3 linked regions of the Arabidopsis thaliana genome follow. The protein of the gene in region 2 interacts with the protein of the main gene of each other region in a pairwise test. Each region holds a gene or a part of one and is shown on either strand. Other genes may lie near its edges.

Region 1 (5,691 bases), on a different chromosome or scaffold from region 2:
TCAATTTATGAAGAAACACCAATCCTATAGTATGTAGTCTTTATGTATATAGTGAATTTATGTTACAGGAGATGGATTGAAAAATATAATAGTAGGGTGATGGAGTTGCATGAGATGGAGAACTGGTTAGGAGGACATCAAACCTAGCGTGTGTCACAAACCGAAAGTATTTGAACTGATGTAATCGTTGTTTGTGTTTATTGTGTTGAACGAGTCTTTGTTTCAGTTGTGTCAATAATGTGTGTCTTCATTGGGTTAAGGAGCCAGCTTTTTAACTTTCTCATTCCTGGTTTATAGGAGTTACAACTCCCTCTCTTTGTACATTCTATTCAAGATAGTGAAAAAGCCAAAAAGAGGCAATTTTAATTGCCCAAAGAAAAGTTACTCTCTATTTTGTGCGATGTAATTTATGCTGTATGATTTCTTACTCCCTAAAGTGATATTTCTTTGTACCAACGGAGATCTTTTTACCGTTTACAATAATCATTAACTTCCATAACACAATTTGAGAAGGTAGTAATCGAAATGTTTTGGGTTCAAACTCAAGAGCCGGAGATAGTACTACAAAACGATATCCAAAAGGAAACAAAGCAAACAATCTATCGTTATGAAACATAAAGACCTAATGTGAGATAAGCTCTTGAAGTTAGATATAAGAAGAATAAAAACTTTCAAGGAATGTATGCAATGAATGTTTTTAATGATTTTATCCCCTTGTTTTCATTATCTTGATGCATTAACACACCATTTAGACTTCTTCAAGATAGCCTTTGCATTGAGTTCATCCATTTTAGGTGTTGGAGTGAGAACCATAAAGAAGAGAGGTTTTAGAGGATATTTGGTTCTTAAAAGACCAAACAATGACGGAATATGAAGGAAAGAACAAGAGAGATGATATGATATTATCCATAATCAATATGAAGTACTTGAAAGATCACGTCATATGAAGACTTTCCTTTGTGATATTGTTTTCGAGCCCTTCATCAAAGTCATAGGAAATTGAATTGGCTGTTCCAACGGTGGTGATTTCGGATCAAACGGAATAGCGGATCAAAAGTAATAGCCAAAATTAAAAATAGGCTCTCGGACATGACAAAACAATCAGGCATAAACGAACATGAGGAGATGATAATACGTTTTTTTATTCATCAGCAGCATTCATTTTGTCAAACAAAAAAATAAATAATACAAAACACGTTATATTATACAATAATCATCTCATGTTCCTTAATCAAACCAAATAACATACAAAATAACATTGCGAAACATATTGTATTGTTATATAGAATGATGCTGATGAATATAAAAAATGTATTACAAGACGTGGTTAAGATGATGTCCACTTTGTAGCCAAAACCAAACAAAATTGACATTAAAAATTATAGTAATACGAACTGTATTGTATTTAAATTATTATTTAATAATGGCTACAAGTTGGCTGTTGGTTAAGTCAAGGAAAAATAACAGCTAATTGTTCATATTATAAAACAAAATTGAACACAAAACACACAGTATTATATTATATATAGTACCAATTAGCTAGCAAGACTCTGAAAAACCAAACGAATCTGAAAAGATCATAACAAAACTCAAAAGATTCTTCTCCAACCACGTATTTCATCAAGGAAACATGAAGATAGGAGTGGTTTTAGTGTTGCTTACAGTTTTCGTGGTTGTGATGTCTTCTACAAGCGTCTCTGCTCAGTCGGACGAGGACGAGTGCTTGAAAGAGACAGGGCAGATGCAGTTGAATTGTTTCCCCTACCTAACTGATAATCGTATCCATACTCCTAGTTTCGCGTGTTGTTCTGAGGTGTATACAGTAGGCAAGACATATGTTGACTGCTTTTGTCAATTCATCAACAATGGAGGCCCTAGCTTCGGTATCGTTGTTTCCCAAAAACTTCTTGATCTGCCAGAGCTTTGTGGCGTTTATGGTGCCTGTGGCAACGGTAAGAATTTCAAAAACACTAGTTTATGAATAAACACCAATCTTCACTCTTCGCGAATTTATGTTATGTCCATGAAATTGATTGAAAAATCTGTGTACCAGTTGGTGATGGCGTTGTCCGTAACCGAAAGTATTTGAATTGATAGAGTCTTTGTTTCAGTTGAGTCAATAACGAAAGACATGGTCTTCCTTTCCTTGTGTTAAATTAAGGAGCCAGCTTTGCCACTTTCCCATTCCTGGTTTGTAGGAGTTACAACTCCATCTCTTTGTACATTCTATTTAAGATTATTAAAAAGCCACAAAAAGGCAATCTTAATTGTCTAAAGAAAAGCCACAAATCCAAATCTGAGACATGGGAAGGAGATGGTAAACTAAATGTTTCGGGTTCAAACTCAAGAGCCATAGATATAGTATGCACAAAACAGATATCCAAAAGGAAACAAATAACTTATGTCAACTTTATAAAATCCTATATTATAAAAAGAATTTTATCATTTTATGGGACAAAGCAATAATCTATCGTTATGAAACATTGAGACCTAATGTGAGATAAGCTCTTGACGTTAGTAGATATAAGAAGCACAAAATTTCAACGAATGCATGCAAAATGAAAAGTAATGTGTTGTGTTTTTAATGATTTACCTCCTTGTTTTCATTTAACTTGATGCATTAACATACCATTTAGACTTGTTTCGGCTACCTGACTAAATATAGCTCATACCTTTGTTGACTGTTTTGTCAATTCCTCAAGAGTGGAGGTTCTAATCTCGGTATCATCAATGTTAACCAAACACAAGTTCTTCGTCTGCCAGTAATTTGTTTTGGTACGGTGACACTTTTCTTGTCATTCAGTGTAATAACGGTATGAAGAAAGATCATCCTAGTACCGTAGTACGTAGTCTTTATGTTATCTGATGCATCCATAATATATCGTGAATTTATGTTACAGGAAATTGATTGAAAAATGTACCAGTAAGGTGATGGAGTTGCAGGAGATGCATAACGGGTTTAGGAGGACATCTAACCGAGCGTGTGTCACAATATATTGTGTTGAACGAGTCTTTGTTTCAGTTGTGTCAATAATGTGGTCTTCATTGTGTTAAGGAGCCAGCTTTCTCACTTTCTCATTCCTGGTATATAGGAGTTACACTCCATCCCTTTCTACATTTGAAAAAGCCTATAAGAGGTAATCAAAATTCAAAAGCGTTACTCTCTGTTATAATTTGGATTTAAGTTCTAAATCTGAGACCCATCATTAACCGATAAGAATAGGCCCAAATCATTAATGGGCCTTTCAATCCTAATAGAATCATCACTTCCAAATATTTACATTTGTTGCATTTTTTGTGTATATTATTAGATTATAGTAAGAGATTTATAAAACTAACAAAATTTTACATGATCATGGAATCACCAAGAATCTTCCTCCGGCCGTTCAATCTCTCCGATGCAGAAGACGTCTTTAAATGGGCCGGTGACGATGACGTCACACGTTACCTCCGTTGGGACTCCGTTAACTCCTTAGAAGAAGCTAAACAACACATCTTAAACAAGGCTATACCACACCCATGGCGCCGTTCCATCTCTCTCCTCCAAGACGGTCATTCGATTGGTTACGTATCCGTCAAGCCAGACTCCGGTGATGGTCGGTGCCGAGCCGACCTCGCATACGCTGTCGCTAAAGAGTTTTGGGGGCGGGGGATAGCCACAGCGGCGGTGAGGATGGCGGTTGAACAAGCTTTGGAGGATTTTCCGGAGGTGGTGAGGCTACAAGCGGTGGTGGAGGTGGAGAACAAAGCGTCCCAAAGGGTTTTGGAGAAAGCTGGATTTCGAAAAGAGGGTTTACTTGAGAAGTATGGTTTTAGCAAAGGAGTCATCAGAGACATGTTTCTCTATAGTTACGTTAAAGATGATTGTTTTGTGTGATAGTTAACGGTAAAAATAATGGAGAAAGTAACTAAATAATATCCGGTTTTTACCGTAATCTGAAATGTTACAATATCAAACGTACGTTAGGTTTGAAGAGATAAAGATGATTACGGCAACAAATGATGGTTGTCTACATGTTCTTGTCATGTCATAATTAAGTTTAAGTCGTGTCGTGTGTCTACGGTGACTCAACCACATATCTTTCTTTCTCTGAATTCTGTCTTGTTCGTGAAAATAATCTCTATAGTAGTAATCTTAACGTCATGAATTGGATAATGATATTGACGAAAATTTATATATGAATGTGAAATGTTAATGGCAAATATATCCATTCTTTTACAAGCTACGGTAATTAGTTTATTTTTTGATTTAAGATACTCCCGTTATTTCAAAAAAAAAAAAAAAAAAAAGAGAGAGAGAAAAAATTCTTCTTTGTCGCATAGATTTCACAAGTTGAAATTGAACGGTCAGATTTTTGAAAAATCAGAACTTGTAAACCACTAAAACAAGAATACTTATGTGTTAGGAATAGATAATAATAGTGGCATGGCGCCAGCAATTACAGAACAGAAAATATTCGGCACTATATAAGTCGGATGAATCATACACTATACATGAAAACAATTAATATTTGGAACATAAAAGTCGGTCCATATATTTAATTATTCAGGAAGTAATGCGAAAAAAAAGTGTGTGAATGAAAGTCTTTGAGAAAGTATCAAGTAGCACGCATGCATCTTGAACAGAAGTCATGCATAGTGTCGTCAAAATCAAATTGATATATGTTTTACAATTCTTGTCCTATCAAATCTTAAATGTGTCAACCTCATATTCAACCACCTCTATGCTTATTTTATTATACAACTTTGATCTTACATATGACATCCTTAAGTATCGACAAGTGATAGTTTCTTGCGAGATTAATATCTGTATTCTTAGTTTGCATAAGTCGTTATAGATTGGTTGCTAAATACCTACGGTTTCTTTTCTTAAAATTATTAGTCAGTATATAAGTAAGATATCGAAACACATATATTTGTAACAAACGCACTTGTTTTTTCTTTAATTCCAACAATTTCAATAAAAAAAACCAAGCAACACAACCTCTTAATCAACGAGTTATTCCAAAACCTAAATTGCAAATTGTATTCATCGTGTGGTCACGCCTATTCCATAACCATTATTACCTCTCTTATTTTGTTTTAGTTCACTTATTATCTTTTTACTTTCTGTGTAAAAGATAGATGATGCGACAGGAAGCAGTGAATGCTGATGTGAGCTTATATGGTCCCTACTTACTACACGTGGAGCCAACTCTTAGTAACTCAGAGGGTTATATTGCGGGACCTTTCTCTGACAGCAACAGAGAGATTAGATTCTGATCTCATGGACGGTCACGATGATATGATGGATTGTGTTCACGAGCCATGACACGACTCATGATGCTTCATCAGTTCTCCACTATGAGTGACTTCACACTATTATAGTTAAATTGATGATTATCAAGTTTGCAAACAAACACTGCTTAAACCTATTCTTGATTTCTTGTCCCCGAACTGTGATTGGTTATTGAATAATTTATTAATTTTGTTCCATTAAGTTGTATAATGGAAAACAGTCACAGCACACACATATATGCAAGTAACAGTTATCAATTCCATAAAGATAATGGAAACTTTTTGCCAAATCCGGAAATGTTTATACTTTAAAAATTATAAATTTTAGTCATGGTTTCAAAAAAGATGATGGAACCACTGAAAACCCTTGTCAAAATAAGATCGCAACTTTAATTAGTAACACAATTTGATGTG
Region 2 (8,278 bases):
AGATTGAGTATATGACTTGTGCTTTGAAATTGCATTTATTACCAAATAGTATTTGGATAATTACAAAGGAGATATTTTTGTCCATTTTCATAAATCATCATATTATTAGTATGAAAATCGAAATTCAAATTGAGAGGGAAGAAGTAGACAATGCATTTGTTTCAAACTTGGAAGGTTGTAATGTAGTTAAAATCGGTGTTGACAAAAACAAATTGTAGTTTAATGGGTAGTTGATATTATTAGATTTCTAAAGTCGTATATGATGATACTTTTTTTAATAAACCGAAAATTATTGTTGAAAAATTGATAAGTATTGGTGAATATGAATTTGGATAGCTTGACGGCTAGACGCACGGCCAACAAATGATAGAAAGATTGACCAAAAACAGATGAATGGCTTTTGACTGTTAATATTATTGACTTTTAGAATGCCAAATAGTAAAATGGAAGAATAATAAATGAGTATGTGAAAATTCATGGGAGATTTGGTTTTGTTTGACTTAGAACAAATATGGAGTTGTGGTTGGTGTCTAATAAGAGATTTATTTAGGCTCTGACTAGTGATGAAATCATGGAAAGAATATGACATAAGATTGCTTTTGTCATCTTAGACTTTCGTTAGCCTCATCAGTCAAAGTAAAAATCTAACTACACACAACCAAAGTTTGACTATACCAAGACATCGACAATGATAGAATCAATCAACCATAACTAAAGATATTACAAGTACCCTAATTCTCAACTTTTATTACAAGTACTTAAATATCTCAATCTTACACGTGAATAAAGTAAATCATCCTTCTAATCAAAACATCAGCAAGGTTTTTAACACAACAAAAGTAAATTACAACAGTTTTTACGTACCATTTGGGTTATTTATTAGAATTGATGTAACCGGAGGAAATACTAGTCTTCCACGATGTGTTTCCTCTCGAGCTCAATGAACTGTTTGTTATTATGGGAGGTTTCAGTGGCGTTTCGTGTCTCGTTCTCTCCTTTGCATCGCTGTAACTGCATTTGAAGACTTCGTACAAGGTCGTTTAGCCTCTGGATATGTCTCTCTTGTGACAAGATGATCTGTAACGATTAACAAACTAAGAATTGACAGGTCTTCTTCTATTTTCAGGTTCAAAATTATGCTGAAGTTATGAGGTTCGTCATACATCCAATGGAACTTTAAGGTTGCAAGACCAATAAGTCTATGTTTCTCCACTAACCTCATCTATTTGATGCAATCAGGGAAAACACAACAGAAGGCAAAAAAACCCCGAATATTTCTATGCAACATTAAAAACTCAGATCAGTCATTGATGGATTCCATAGACATTCTCAAAAAGAAGAAGATAGAGATATGAAAGCCAGTTACAAAGAATGTTTGTCCAGAGACTCATGAGACTAGAATGTCGAGGATAAAGTCAACAACACAACTACTAAGGCATAGTTATAGATTGACTCAAAAGGCAAGTGAAGCAGATATAGGAATCTTAAGCATCAGAGCATTCTAAGTTAACTGACACTATCCAATTATGCATATCTCTGCTACAGTTGTACTAATCTATAAGTCACAATCCCAAAACGAATTCTCAGGTCTTTCTCATACAACTGAACACACAAAACTTCAATGAAAAAGAGTTTAAGAATGAAGTAAGTACCTTCTCCTTGACAGCTTCTTCCCTCTTTGCAATTTGCTGATGTTTCTGAGACAAGCTAGGAGCTGCATCAAGCTCAAGAAGTGGTTGCCTCCATTCAAACTGAGAAGTGACTATAAGTATAACCAGAAGAAAGACTAGCATGATCGGCCTCGACATTTTCTATTCAGCTCTTACAAAACCTGTTCCAAATTTCACAATCAATCCATTTCATACCATCCTAAACACACATCCAAAGACCACGCCTAATCGAATTGAGACATATATCGAAAATGAGATCGATGCGACTTAAAATTCACCTACTCACTTCAAATTTTCTAATTAAAAACCAAAAGTAGAACAATGTAAACAGTGTAAGCTGATACTATAAAAAGCAACTCCATCAAATCAATGACCTAGGGTTTCAATACGAATCTCCTTCATATGTAACTAACTTACTAAGGATAAGCAAATAACACATACTACAGAAAAACTGAATTTCCTCAGCACAACAAAGCAAAATTGAAGCATCGTAGAAGATATAACGAAGACGATTAAGTATCTCCAACTTACAGATCGATTTATCACAGTGAAATCAAACTTCATTATCGAATCATCAGCTTTTCTAGGGTTTCTTAAACCGGAAAAATTGACGAAACTGATCGAGATCAATAAAATCGGCTTGACGGAGTATTGAGGAAACTTGACTTCTCCAAAATGGGTTCTCGTATAGAAGAAGAGAGAAAGAAACAAAAGCAGAGGTTTAATGGCGGCGAGAAAATTCTACAAATCTTAGTGCAACAACCATCTGGACGAGAAAGATAAACAGTACGGATTTGGAAAATAGTCATTTACTAATTTGCCCCCATCATTTATCCATTCTCTGATTCTCATTAAACACACCACTTAATAAGCCTTGAAGTGTAAAAACTATATCCACTAGTTCTTCTGTGCTTGATATTTCAGGTTTTGATTTGGTTGCACAGATTTGAAGTAGAAGTGTAAAACATAAACCGTTTACACAAAAACATCATATAATCCTTGTCAATGTCCGAGAAAAGATGATACAAACATAGCTAGGACACTGTTTTTCGCTACTTCCATAAGCCTCTTATTCTAGATAAAACAACATTGCTATCAGAGCCACTACACCTATAATAACATCCCATCGTGCCTTGTTCACTGATTTGATCGAGTATAAACCCACGAAGCAGCTCGACAATGATTCCGTGGCGTCTTTTCCTTTCTTCTTCTGTGATGGTCTTTCCTCTAACAGTGATGACATTTGTTTGTCTATCATGTTTGGTAAAGGAAGTACCCTTATCTCCATTGATGCTGATTCTAGTGTTGGCACTTCGTTTGGTGTGTTCCCTGTCATCACCGCTTCATCGAGATTGATGATTTCGTCTCTTAGGATATCCGCAAAGAAATCCTCGTCATTATCCACCTAAACCACACACACATAACATTCATTAAGAAGAACGACAACAATCAAGAACCATCATACAACAATTAGAAGCCAGGTGACAAAACCTGTAGATTTTCTGATGACTCTGCCATCTCAGCGAGTAGTTTCTCCCCTGATTCACCTGCTAGGTAAAAATCAACCAAGTTGTCCCAATCAGACGGGCTCCCTGAACTCGTAGCGCCATTTTGGACTTTCGCATGCTTCTCGGCTGATGAATTTGGCTTTGGTGCCTTCTGACTTGTACCACTATTGTATTCTTTGTTCCTCCTAACCCGGCAAACAACCATAGCATCATCCTAGAATTTACATAAACATAATCAATCAACTCAAGCCAAAGACAAAACTCCTAAAATTTTACTGTATTCCTCTTAGAGACTCAAAAAGTAGCCAAAGTCACCACCTCTTATGTAATGGTTAACAATTAATCTATAAGAAAAAACAAACTCTCGAGAACAGTTTTACCAGAGATACTCCTTTCACGCAGTACTCGTGCATAATCCAGTCAGTTCTTTCGCCTTTTGGTGCACGACCAATATGGAAAACAAGCGTCCTCTTTGTTCCAATGACCTCAGAACCAGACTTCACATCACGCTCTTTCCCAGTTGCTTTCCAGTATCCCATCTTCGTTGCTCTCCTGTTCTGTGAACCATGTGGATACTTTTTCCCACGCGCACAGAAGAAGAACCACTCGCTATCAGATTTCACAATCGACTTATCTGCAAAGAACAAACACACAAAAAAAATTGTCAATTCCAATCCAAGAGCCAAAAAATAGAAACTTTATATCTTAGGCACCCAAAATAGAGATCTCTCCTGAAGCCTGAAGAACAACAAAATCAAATTCCAAGTAGAAGAAAGACACAAAAGAATCAATTGGTTCGAATTCGAAGACAAACCGGGTAAATCCCAAGGCTCGAAATTGTAAATCTCAAGGTCCGGTATAACCTCAACGGACCTCTCCAAGCCATCCATCTTCCGCTTCAGGTAATACGAAATCAACTCCACATCCGTCGGCGAGAATTTAAACCCAGGAAACACCGTCGACGCTTCCATCGACGCCGCCGTATCCTTAGAAACTCCAACCGCCTTCGTGTCCATGAAGGCTCGCGCGTATACAACAGTCGCCACAAAAAGAGCGCGTAAGAAATCGGCCACCGCCCAAAGAGTAAAATCCGGGAATTTTCGATAACCTGAAGGATTTTTCTTCTCAGTGTGGTCTCTTCTCACTTGCTCAGGGAGCTTTTGAATTGTTATTGGAACACTTCACAGGTGCACACATATGGGTTTTTGCATACGTGTTGCCAAGGCATTGCTTAATCTACGTGTGCATGCCACGTCACTAAACCTAGTTATATTATAGGTTTTATTTCATTTAGACCCTTAATGTTTTTACGTACTCCCAATTTACGACTTATTGTTTAGTGTTTTCAGATAAAGTCCCAATATATATCCGAAATCTTACTATCGATCAATCGCTCACAATTATATATCCCAAAATATCTTGTTCAGGATCTCGTAATCAACAAGCGTTACCTCAAAGTTTTTGTTGATTTGAAGCTTAAGGGTTAACCACTTATCATTACAAGAAAACTTATCCTTCTTGATGGATTTCAACTGCTCCACAAGACTTTCCATATAGTTAAGTTTAATCAAAAACTCATGTTCAAAAAAGCTAAACAAGAAAGGTGAATTTTCGCAAATCTCCCTCCGTAAAACCTCGTACGTCTTCGAAATAGTATTAGTAGTAAAATCTGTGGACTATGTTTCTGTGTCAAGGTACGACAGGGAAAACGAAATGTATGAGTGAACTTTATTGTTGTTTCCATGATGAAATGGGGTTACAAATTACGATCAAATTATACTCAAATCATTATTTGTAAAAAAACTAAAGTGATATTAACGTGGTTAACTCTGTTCTGTTAATTTTTTTGGTGATGTGAATCCAAAAATTACTTTGAAAGTTTCTCGTACAATTAAAAGTTTAAAGTTGATGATGAACGGAAACTATAAACAATCATAACAAGAAATTCTCCAAATTATTTCAGCAACAAATTTATATTTTGTCAAGATCAACAATGATCGATAACGATAATATGATTTAAGAGTTTTTTCATACCAAAACTCTTTAGAATTAAAAATCCTCCTTTCATAGGCCTTTGAACTAAAAAATAGAACTCTTCAACAATATTTTAGTCAAAAGCTAATGATACGTGAAAGAGTTCGATACCTTTTATAACACCATCCAAGGATATAGATCAAGTCTAAAACTAAGAAAAGAGATAAACATCTAATCTTCTAATCCTCATACCTTCGAAAAGTAAACAATAATTAATATTGAATGCTAACAAGTAACAACCAAAATATATAAACAAACGCTTTGTTTGGTTTTTAAGGTTGGTTTGTTATCGAGGGGGTATTTTATCTTTTGAATTTTGTAAAAAATCTATAAATATAGGTGATGATTTTAGAAAAAAATGAGGATTTTTTTACACATTTTGGCATTTCCCCCTACAGTTAAAAAGAGAGTAAAAATCAAAATATATATCATGTGTTGTACAAGTAAACACCTACCAACCAAGCCCATCAAGAAGATACTACTACTAGAATCACTCATTTCCTCTATATATCTTATTGGTGACAAACTGACCAGTCACCAATAAATGTCTCTAGTCACGGCGGCTCCTCCGGTCAACATCGATCAAATCTTTCCCGTGGTTGACGTATACACTTGCGATTCTTCCTCCATCGTACAATATGCATGCATATAAATACCAATATAGGTGATGGTTATTGTAAATGTTTTTAGAGAAAATGAGGATTTTTTAAACCCATTTTTCCCTTCACTAAAAAAGAATCGACACACAAAAAGAGAGAGTTTATAAAATACACGATAATATCAAAGTTAAACACACACCAACCAAGTAAACAAGATACAACACAATTGGAATCTTTCTTCTTTGACAAAAAAAAAAGGAATCTCTCTCTTTCTCTGATTCTCTCATGTCCATGCAACAAGAAACGTCTCACATGACGGCGGCTCCACAGACCAACGGCCATCAAATCTTCCCTGAGATTGACATGTCCGCCGGCGATTCCTCCTCCATCGTACGAGCTACAGTCGTCCAAGCCTCTACAGTCTTCTACGATACTCCCGCCACGCTAGGTTCGTTCCTGTTTTCTCGATTTTTGATTCACTATGGTTGGTGAGATCGCTTTCGATGCCTTATCCACGAAATTTTGTCAGATAAGGCAGAGAGACTGCTTTCTGAGGCAGCGGAGAATGGATCTCAGCTAGTGGTGTTCCCGGAGGCTTTCATCGGTGGATATCCACGTGGCTCTACCTTTGAATTGGCTATTGGTTCTCGTACCGCTAAAGGACGAGATGACTTTCGCAAGTACCATGCTTCTGCCATTGATGTTCCTGGTAATAAAGTCCTCCACCATATCTCCGATTATGTTCTCACTTTTTTTCTTTCGATTTTGGATCTTAGCATGAATACCAGGGCACGCACTTATTACCACATAAATCCATTGTTCTCTAACTAGCTACCAACATAGAACAACTAGGCAACCCTCTTTTATATTCACTTAGGTCGCGTGTTCGATTCACGTTCACTGCACCATTTGATAAGTTTGAAGCTATGAACTCTTATCTTTTATCACTTCTCATTCCAAGATACAAACTCAAGAACTACCCTAACAATGGAGATTTTTTCAAGAGATCTCCTAACTCTCCTCCATAAAACCATACGTTTGTTAAAAACACATCAATACATGCATAACTTCATCAATTCTCTTGACAAGAGGTTACAAAATCTGTTTCTTCTTGCTCTGTTTTAACTCCTTTTCACATGACTTCTATGCTTCTCTTTGCTTATTCACGTGTCTCATAACCTCCTTTTCAGCTACCACACGTATCTCCTAGCTTATCACACTTAAGATCTAATAAATTCTCACCAAAGCCGTCTTTAAAACAGCTTCTGTTCTACTACGACACTGTAACAGAAACTGCAACAAACAACCAAGGTGGTTCTTGTTTTTTTTTGGTATCAAGGTGGTTCTTGTTGCTTTGAGGGAGATGCCTCTTCCTTCTTACATGAGAGCTTGTAGCATCACCAAGATCTGACCAGTTCATCAAGAGACGTAGCTTGGTTGCTCCACCCGTGACTCCACAACAAGCTTCATTCAAGGGAGGCACAGATGCTCCAAGAGTAAGAAGTTGTAGATAAGATCATTTCAGCAACAGTCACATGGGCTTAACTTATGAAAGGCCCAGTGACTTGGGCTTTCACATGGGTCAATCTCATAGCCAATAAACCCAACAATTGTTAGTGTGATCATCTACTAACAATTGAGTGTTTCAGTCTCTACTAGTTATAGTGTTTCTTGAATCACCAAGTGTGTGTAAACTGTAAATTACATTCTACTTATTCATCTGTGCCATCTTGTGTTAGGCCCTGAAGTGGAACGATTAGCGTTAATGGCCAAGAAGTACAAAGTATACTTGGTTATGGGTGTGATAGAGAGGGAAGGCTACACGCTATACTGCACCGTTCTTTTCTTCGATTCACAAGGTCTGTTCTTAGGTAAGCACCGCAAACTCATGCCTACAGCTCTTGAACGTTGCATTTGGGGATTTGGAGATGGATCAACCATCCCTGTGTTCGATACTCCTATTGGGAAAATCGGTGCTGCTATTTGTTGGGAAAATAGGATGCCTTCTTTGAGAACCGCAATGTATGCCAAAGGTTAGTCTCTCTTTAGCTTCTACAAAGGGACAATGTATCAGTATGTTGCTTGTGATTTGATCATGTTGGTGTGTTACACTGTTGTGTTTTTTTTTGTAGGCATTGAGATTTATTGTGCACCTACTGCTGATTCAAGAGAAACTTGGCTAGCATCAATGACTCATATTGCACTTGAGGGTGGATGTTTTGTTTTGTCAGCTAACCAGTTTTGTCGTCGGAAAGACTATCCTTCTCCGCCGGAATACATGTTTTCCGGTTCAGAAGAGAGCCTAACACCGGACTCTGTTGTCTGCGCTGGTGGAAGCTCTATCATTTCACCTTTGGGAATTGTTTTAGCTGGACCAAACTATAGAGGAGAAGCTCTTATCACAGCTGATCTAGGTATATTATTAATTAACATTTGTTAATCATCATCATTCATTCTTGAACAAAAA
Region 3 (5,673 bases), about 17 Mb from region 2:
ACGTTCAACAGTCATGGTCGACGCCAAAATATCAATTATTATTGATGGACATATACTTTTCTCTAACATTACATAATCTTTGTATAAACTAAAGAAAATAGAATGAATATTCGTAAGAGACCTTCAGTAGATATCACATATAAAAAATGTTTTGAGTCTATGTTCTTGCTTTTACACATATGTACGGTCGAGTTCCTTTTTGTTGGAGTAGCTTAGAATCAAACATTATAGCTCACTTTATAAAATGGTTATAACTCCAATTATTAGTAGACTAATACCTAATTACAAGTAGACTTTATACCTATAACTATTAAGATTATTCCATTTAAGATTTTAGCAAGCTTTTTCTAGATTTATTTCTCCATGGACTATATGTAGATTTATATAAAACAAGAAGATGTGTTACCTGGTAAACGTTAAACCATTCAACTAAAAATAGATATGAAAATAAAATTGCAAATTTCCAGGTGTATTTTCTCGTTGATTTTGTTCGTCTAATGGAAACTCAATAATAATGGTTCACGCTTAAACTATTACCATATGCCATTAATTAAAGTATATTATTGCGAGTGGATATATTTCTATATATAAGAAAATCAGAAATTTCAAACAAGGAAATGGAGAACTCCCTAACCACCAAGTCCAAGTCAATAAGACTGCACACCAAATGCATGCCACAGGTTGGACAAAGTTTGATGATTTCTTCTATCTAATTTCCATTTTCTCTTGATTATTTTAAAATAAATTATTAACTTGGTTAACATATTATTGTATTGGTACAAGAACACAATTGGTAATTAATAAGTATTCAAGTGTTCTAGGATAGAGTTTTTTTTTAAACATTCTTATTTTTCATTAAAGCTAAACTTAGTAGGTTTGGTAAGCATATATATGATCAAGTCGCCTCAAGAAAAGTTAATAGAGTTTGGAATTTTCTCACTCAAAAATCATTTTTGTTGTTTACATTATGATCAAAAGCATAACAAGAGTACCATTTTTACCAATATAAATTTGGTTATTAAAAACTTTACTCTTTTGAGCTCTTATCATTATTCAATTTCTTGAAAGCTAAGCCTCCAGTTTCCTCAAACCTATCATTATTAAGCTTTCAATTGAATACTAATACATGACTCACTCTGTCACAATTTAATATATATATATATACACAAACACACATATATATATATACAATGGAGTGTATAGTAAGCATCCAAAACCAATTAAATCACTAAGCATATCACACAAGTAAAAGACTTTTCTAGAATATATGTATAAAAATTAAATCACGAAAAGGAAATTCATTTATCCTAACAACATTACCTACGAAGCAAATCTATATTATACCCAATAAAACCTAACAAGGAGGTGTTATGTATTATTTTACTCACACGAAAGATTCTATTCCATGCAAAAAACTTTGCTTCACAAAGAAAAAGAAGAGTTTTAATTTGATTAGTTTGTCTAAACAACTCCTCATCTTCAGGCAAAATCGGTTGGCCTATCTCCATTCTCTTCTCTAACACCCAACCCACAATTAAATTTTAGCAAAAAAATATATAAATAATATAAAAATCATTACATATTTTATATACATATATATAGATGACCTGCATTGAGAAAACCCTTTCAAGATTTGGTGGATCATTCAAGAAACACACATATTCAAACTTCTCCAAAGAAAAGAAAATAGCAAAAACTAGAATGAAGAAGACAATGGAGGATCCAAGCAAGATCATGAGAAGGTCAATTCACACTTTCCTCCAAAACTACCACCGTGTCACCACCGCAGCCGCCGTGGCCCTCCCTTTCTCCGCCGGTCTCCTCCTCTCTCAGCCTTTCTTCTCTTCTTCCTCTTCCACCCTTCACATGAGGCTTAACATGCTCTTCCGCGGAGCGGGTTTCTCTTCTTCTCATGACTTCTTCAACATCTTAAGCCTTAAACTCTCACAAACCCTATCTTCCTCTTTATTCACTCTTCCTTTCTCCCTCACATTCCTCCTTTTATCCAAAGCTTACGTCATCAAACTTCTATCAAACAATCACTCTGCAGATTCCTCCTCTGTTTTCTACCTCCGGCTTCTCAAAACTTACGTTTGCAACTTCTTCTTCCTTCTCTCTGCAAACGCCTCTGCTTTTGCTCTGTTTTTCTTAGCATACAATACCCTTGAAGCCTTTGGATTCTCTTCAAGAAACTTCTACACTTTCCTCTCCCTATCCTCAGCAATCATCTACTCAATTATCATCGCAAACGCCTTTGTCATCTCTAATCTAGCCTTGGTTTCATCACCTTCTTCTTCCTCGGGAGGATACACAAACATCCTCAAGGCGTGTCTTCTGATTCGCGGAAGAAATTCAACAGCAATGGCTCTTGCTCTGCCTACCAATCTCGGCTTAGCAGGAGTCGAAGCCTTGTTTCAGTACCGAGTCATGAGATCTTATTACAATGGAGACAGAGATATCATATCCATAGCTCTTGAAGGAACCTTCATAGCTTACTTATACGCTCTCTTCTTGGTTCTTGACACCATAGTCAACTTCCTCTTTTACCAGAGCTGCATCAAAAACGAGGAAGATCAAAATATCGGTAGAGAAGACGAGTATTCAATCAAGATCCAAATCAGCGAAACAGAGAACACAAAGATACACATCAAAGGATCAAAGAACTTGCAAGAAATCTTGTGACTCTCTTGTGTTGGTTGATGTAATTATTACTTATACAAAAAAAGTGAAAAACTTTATGAGATTATTGATTCTTTAAGGATAATCTCAAGTAGCTTTCACTTCAAAGAAGAGCAAAGGTACACACACAGTAAAGAACAATCACAGGATCTGCAAAACTTTTTCTTCTTCCTCTGTTTCTGCTTTTCTTTATTTTAGTCTCTTTTTTTTCCACATTGTAAAGTCAAATATACCAGAAATTTTAATTAATGCAAATCTTGGAATTCACATTTGGTTAATCCTACAGTATAATTTCATTGCCGACAAAATATATTAATTAGCAATGATTTTGATTACTTCCTTAAGTTATGAAGATGTTGACTAGATTCACACTTTAACAAGAGTGAAGAGTCTTTTGTTTTTGAGCAAGGATAAGTTCAAGCAAAATCTTTCATTACAAAGAGAGAAGAAGAAATGTCACAATTATCTTTAAATAGACGGTAGAGGCGAAAGCAATTGAACTTTTTGTATTTTTCGTTGAATGAAAATCCTAATAATACATTGAAATTGTGTTAATGATAAAAGCTCAACTTAAAAAGACAAAAAATGGCTAGTGGGTGGTCTACATCACTAATCTCTCTACTTGAACCTCTTTAACAAAAAGCCCTTTAATACAATAGTTCAGTACTACCTAAAATTTCTTCTAATGGAGAAATTATGAATGAATCTAATTTACTTTTATAGGTTAAAAAGAGTGGAATCCGGAAATGTTGCATCTAAAGAGATCAAGAAACAATTAAGCACAAAAAGATGAATTTTATAACAAGCAAAATTTTGTAGCTTTCCAAACATACAAAACAATGTAATCATTCATGGTCCATATTTAGGAATTAGGATCAAGGGTTTATAATCCCAGGTCCGACCGACCGAATCGTATAATCTGGTCCTATCAAACCAAAATTAAAACATTTAAACCGGATTTTTGGTTGAACCGGCCGGTTCATGGGTTAAGCGAAACCTCTAGGGTTTTAATATTTCCAGAGTTGGTTGAGAGCTTCTTCTTACTTTTACTTTTCCTCTGCTCGTAGACAGCTTTGTGCTTGAGACGATTCCCAGTTTCTGCGATTCCAAGTCGAAGATATAACCTCTCCTATTTGCGTCTCAGCTTCTACAGAGCTTTTAGGTAAGCTCCTCTGCTTGTATGATTCCTTTTAATTTTCAAAATTCACTGCTTTCTCTTGCGTATCTGCTCAAAGTCTCTCCCTTTTTCATTTAATCGTTTCTCTTCCTGAAACATTCGAACTCATAAACTAGTTTGATTCAAAAGTTTTCTTGCTTTAAACTTGTGTTAGCTCTAGAATGTTGTTCTTTGTAATCTGTTTGTGACATTGTGGTGGAGATGATGAATGTTAAAGTAAAAGGTCTGAGCAGGTTATGAGTAAAGTGTGTGGCTTTTGATGTTTAATTTAGTTACGAGGAGTCAATCTTTGAACTTTATAGGAGAGGGCCCTTGTCCATGTCTTGAGCCATGGCATCTGTGGCTCCGCAACCTCTCCAACAATGAACCTGATTTGTGTGTGCAATCTGATGGGTCGATTTTTAAAGGCTTGGGGTTGCTTTCTATCATTGATTGTCAATCTAGAATTCTCCCTATATACATTTGTCTCCTTGTGCTTCCTTATCACCAATTAGCTACCCTCGTGATTCTGCACTGATCAAAGACCCTTTGACTGATCCACGTGAGCTGTTTTTATGAGATTATCTATAGGTCTCTGTTTTTTTTTTTTTTTTTTTTTTTTTTTTTTTTTTTTATGTTTGAAGCTTTTGACAAAGCTTGTTTGATGGTATGGTTACCTCATTGTTGCTCTATATTTGGTCCTTCTTTATTTGTTTCAATATTTTTATTGCTTAATCCACTGTATAATAGTTTCTCCTTCCTCAATTGAGTTAGTTTTTCGTGATTGCAGCATTAAAAGTTGTTAAAATGGCTGGGGGGTCAAAGAGGTCTAAAAGAGCAAGACTTGACAGTGAATCGGAAGACATAAGCGACCAAGAAAACCTTAAGGTATGTTTATGTTGCTTTTGTCTCGTTTAAGTTATTTAGATGGTATAGGTGAATTTATTTGGTTGAGGGTTCTCTATATTATAGGCCGAAAGCGACAATGAAGATGATCAATTACCTGATGGGATAGAGGATGATGAAGTAGATAGCATGGAAGATGATGAGGGAGAGAGTGAGGAAGACGATGAAGGAGATACCGAGGAAGATGATGAAGGAGATAGCGAGGAAGATGATGAAGGAGAGAACAAGGAAGACGAGGATGGAGAAAGCGAGGACTTTGAAGATGGAAATGATAAAGAGAGTGAGAGTGGCGATGAAGGTAATGATGACAATAAAGATGCTCAGATGGAAGAGCTTGAGAAAGAGGTCAAGGAGCTTCGTTCACAAGAGCAGTAAGATTTCATTTGAACTAATCATTTTTAAATACTGTTATTTCTAAGATAGTGAATTCTTGTATGTGTTTCTTTCTAGAAACGGTAGATAGTCGTATTAAAGTTTCAACTGTTTAATCTAGATCAGCAAGGATGTTGGCTAGATTTAGAAGTAGGTTCGAACTCATTATAGCAATTGGATTTATTCGTGATTAGTAGAAAATATATACGTTTAAAAGGAAAAGAACAGACTTTTGCCAAAAGTTTTTGTCAGATACTGTCTTAATTCGGTTGCATCATTTAATTTTAAATGAACGATTGAGAGGCAAAAGAATGTTCTTTGTGTAATATGCGTGTTCCTGGTATAGGGATATATTGAAGAACTTGAAGCGTGATAAGGGTGAAGATGCTGTTAAAGGTCAAGCGGTGAAGAATCAGAAGGTATGACCTTGTTCTGCGGTTTGCGAAGTAGTCTAACTAGAAATCAGTTGCAGTTGTATATTCCTATTTTATGTTAATGAAGTTGATCTAGAGCGAATTTTTGACAATTCTTTCTTTGTGCTCTATGTAAAGGCTCTTTGG

The links. The genes of interacting proteins can lie anywhere in the genome.
Region 1: the proteins of NAC089 (region 2) and AT3G22570 interact in a two-hybrid assay, tested with the Arabidopsis thaliana proteins (one large-scale study listed by BioGRID).
Region 3: the proteins of NAC089 (region 2) and AT5G61340 interact in a two-hybrid assay, tested with the Arabidopsis thaliana proteins (one large-scale study listed by BioGRID).

What each region holds. Positions count from the first base shown.
Region 1 is NC_003074.8:7,997,101-8,002,791, reverse strand, and holds AT3G22570 (Bifunctional inhibitor/lipid-transfer protein/seed storage 2S albumin superfamily protein), read left to right. Parts: upstream 1-1,553; 5' UTR 1,554-1,630; coding exon 1,631-1,952; intron 1,953-2,050; exon of another isoform or gene 2,051-2,689; coding exon of another isoform or gene 2,690-2,702; coding exon 2,703-2,716; coding exon of another isoform or gene 2,717-2,875; exon of another isoform or gene 2,876-2,900; coding exon of another isoform or gene 2,901-2,908; 3' UTR 2,909-3,085; downstream 3,086-5,691. Other genes in the region: AT3G22580 (Bifunctional inhibitor/lipid-transfer protein/seed storage 2S albumin superfamily protein), read left to right, coding at 1-30; AT3G22565 (uncharacterized protein), read right to left, coding at 2,690-2,875; AT3G22560 (Acyl-CoA N-acyltransferases (NAT) superfamily protein), read left to right, coding at 3,350-3,877. UniProt on the Arabidopsis thaliana protein: Probable lipid transfer protein.
Region 2 is NC_003076.8:7,373,305-7,381,582, forward strand, and holds NAC089 (NAC domain containing protein 89), read right to left. Parts: upstream 4,473-8,278; 5' UTR 4,195-4,472; coding exon 3,993-4,194; exon of another isoform or gene 3,813-3,992; coding exon 3,559-3,812; intron 3,393-3,558; coding exon 3,162-3,392; intron 3,076-3,161; coding exon 2,740-3,075; 3' UTR 2,535-2,739; downstream 1-2,534. Other genes in the region: AT5G22280 (peptidyl-prolyl cis-trans isomerase G), read right to left, coding at 968-1,222, 1,653-1,808; NIT4 (nitrilase 4), read left to right, coding at 6,097-6,259, 6,341-6,520, 7,551-7,844, 7,944-8,225. UniProt on the Arabidopsis thaliana protein: Transcription factor involved in plant cell division.
Region 3 is NC_003076.8:24,659,073-24,664,745, reverse strand, and holds AT5G61340 (uncharacterized protein), read left to right. Parts: upstream 1-1,528; 5' UTR 1,529-1,602; coding exon 1,603-2,682; 3' UTR 2,683-3,067; downstream 3,068-5,673. Other genes in the region: AT5G61330 (rRNA processing protein-like protein), read left to right, coding at 4,411-4,426, 4,626-4,723, 4,808-5,112, 5,460-5,532, 5,665-5,673.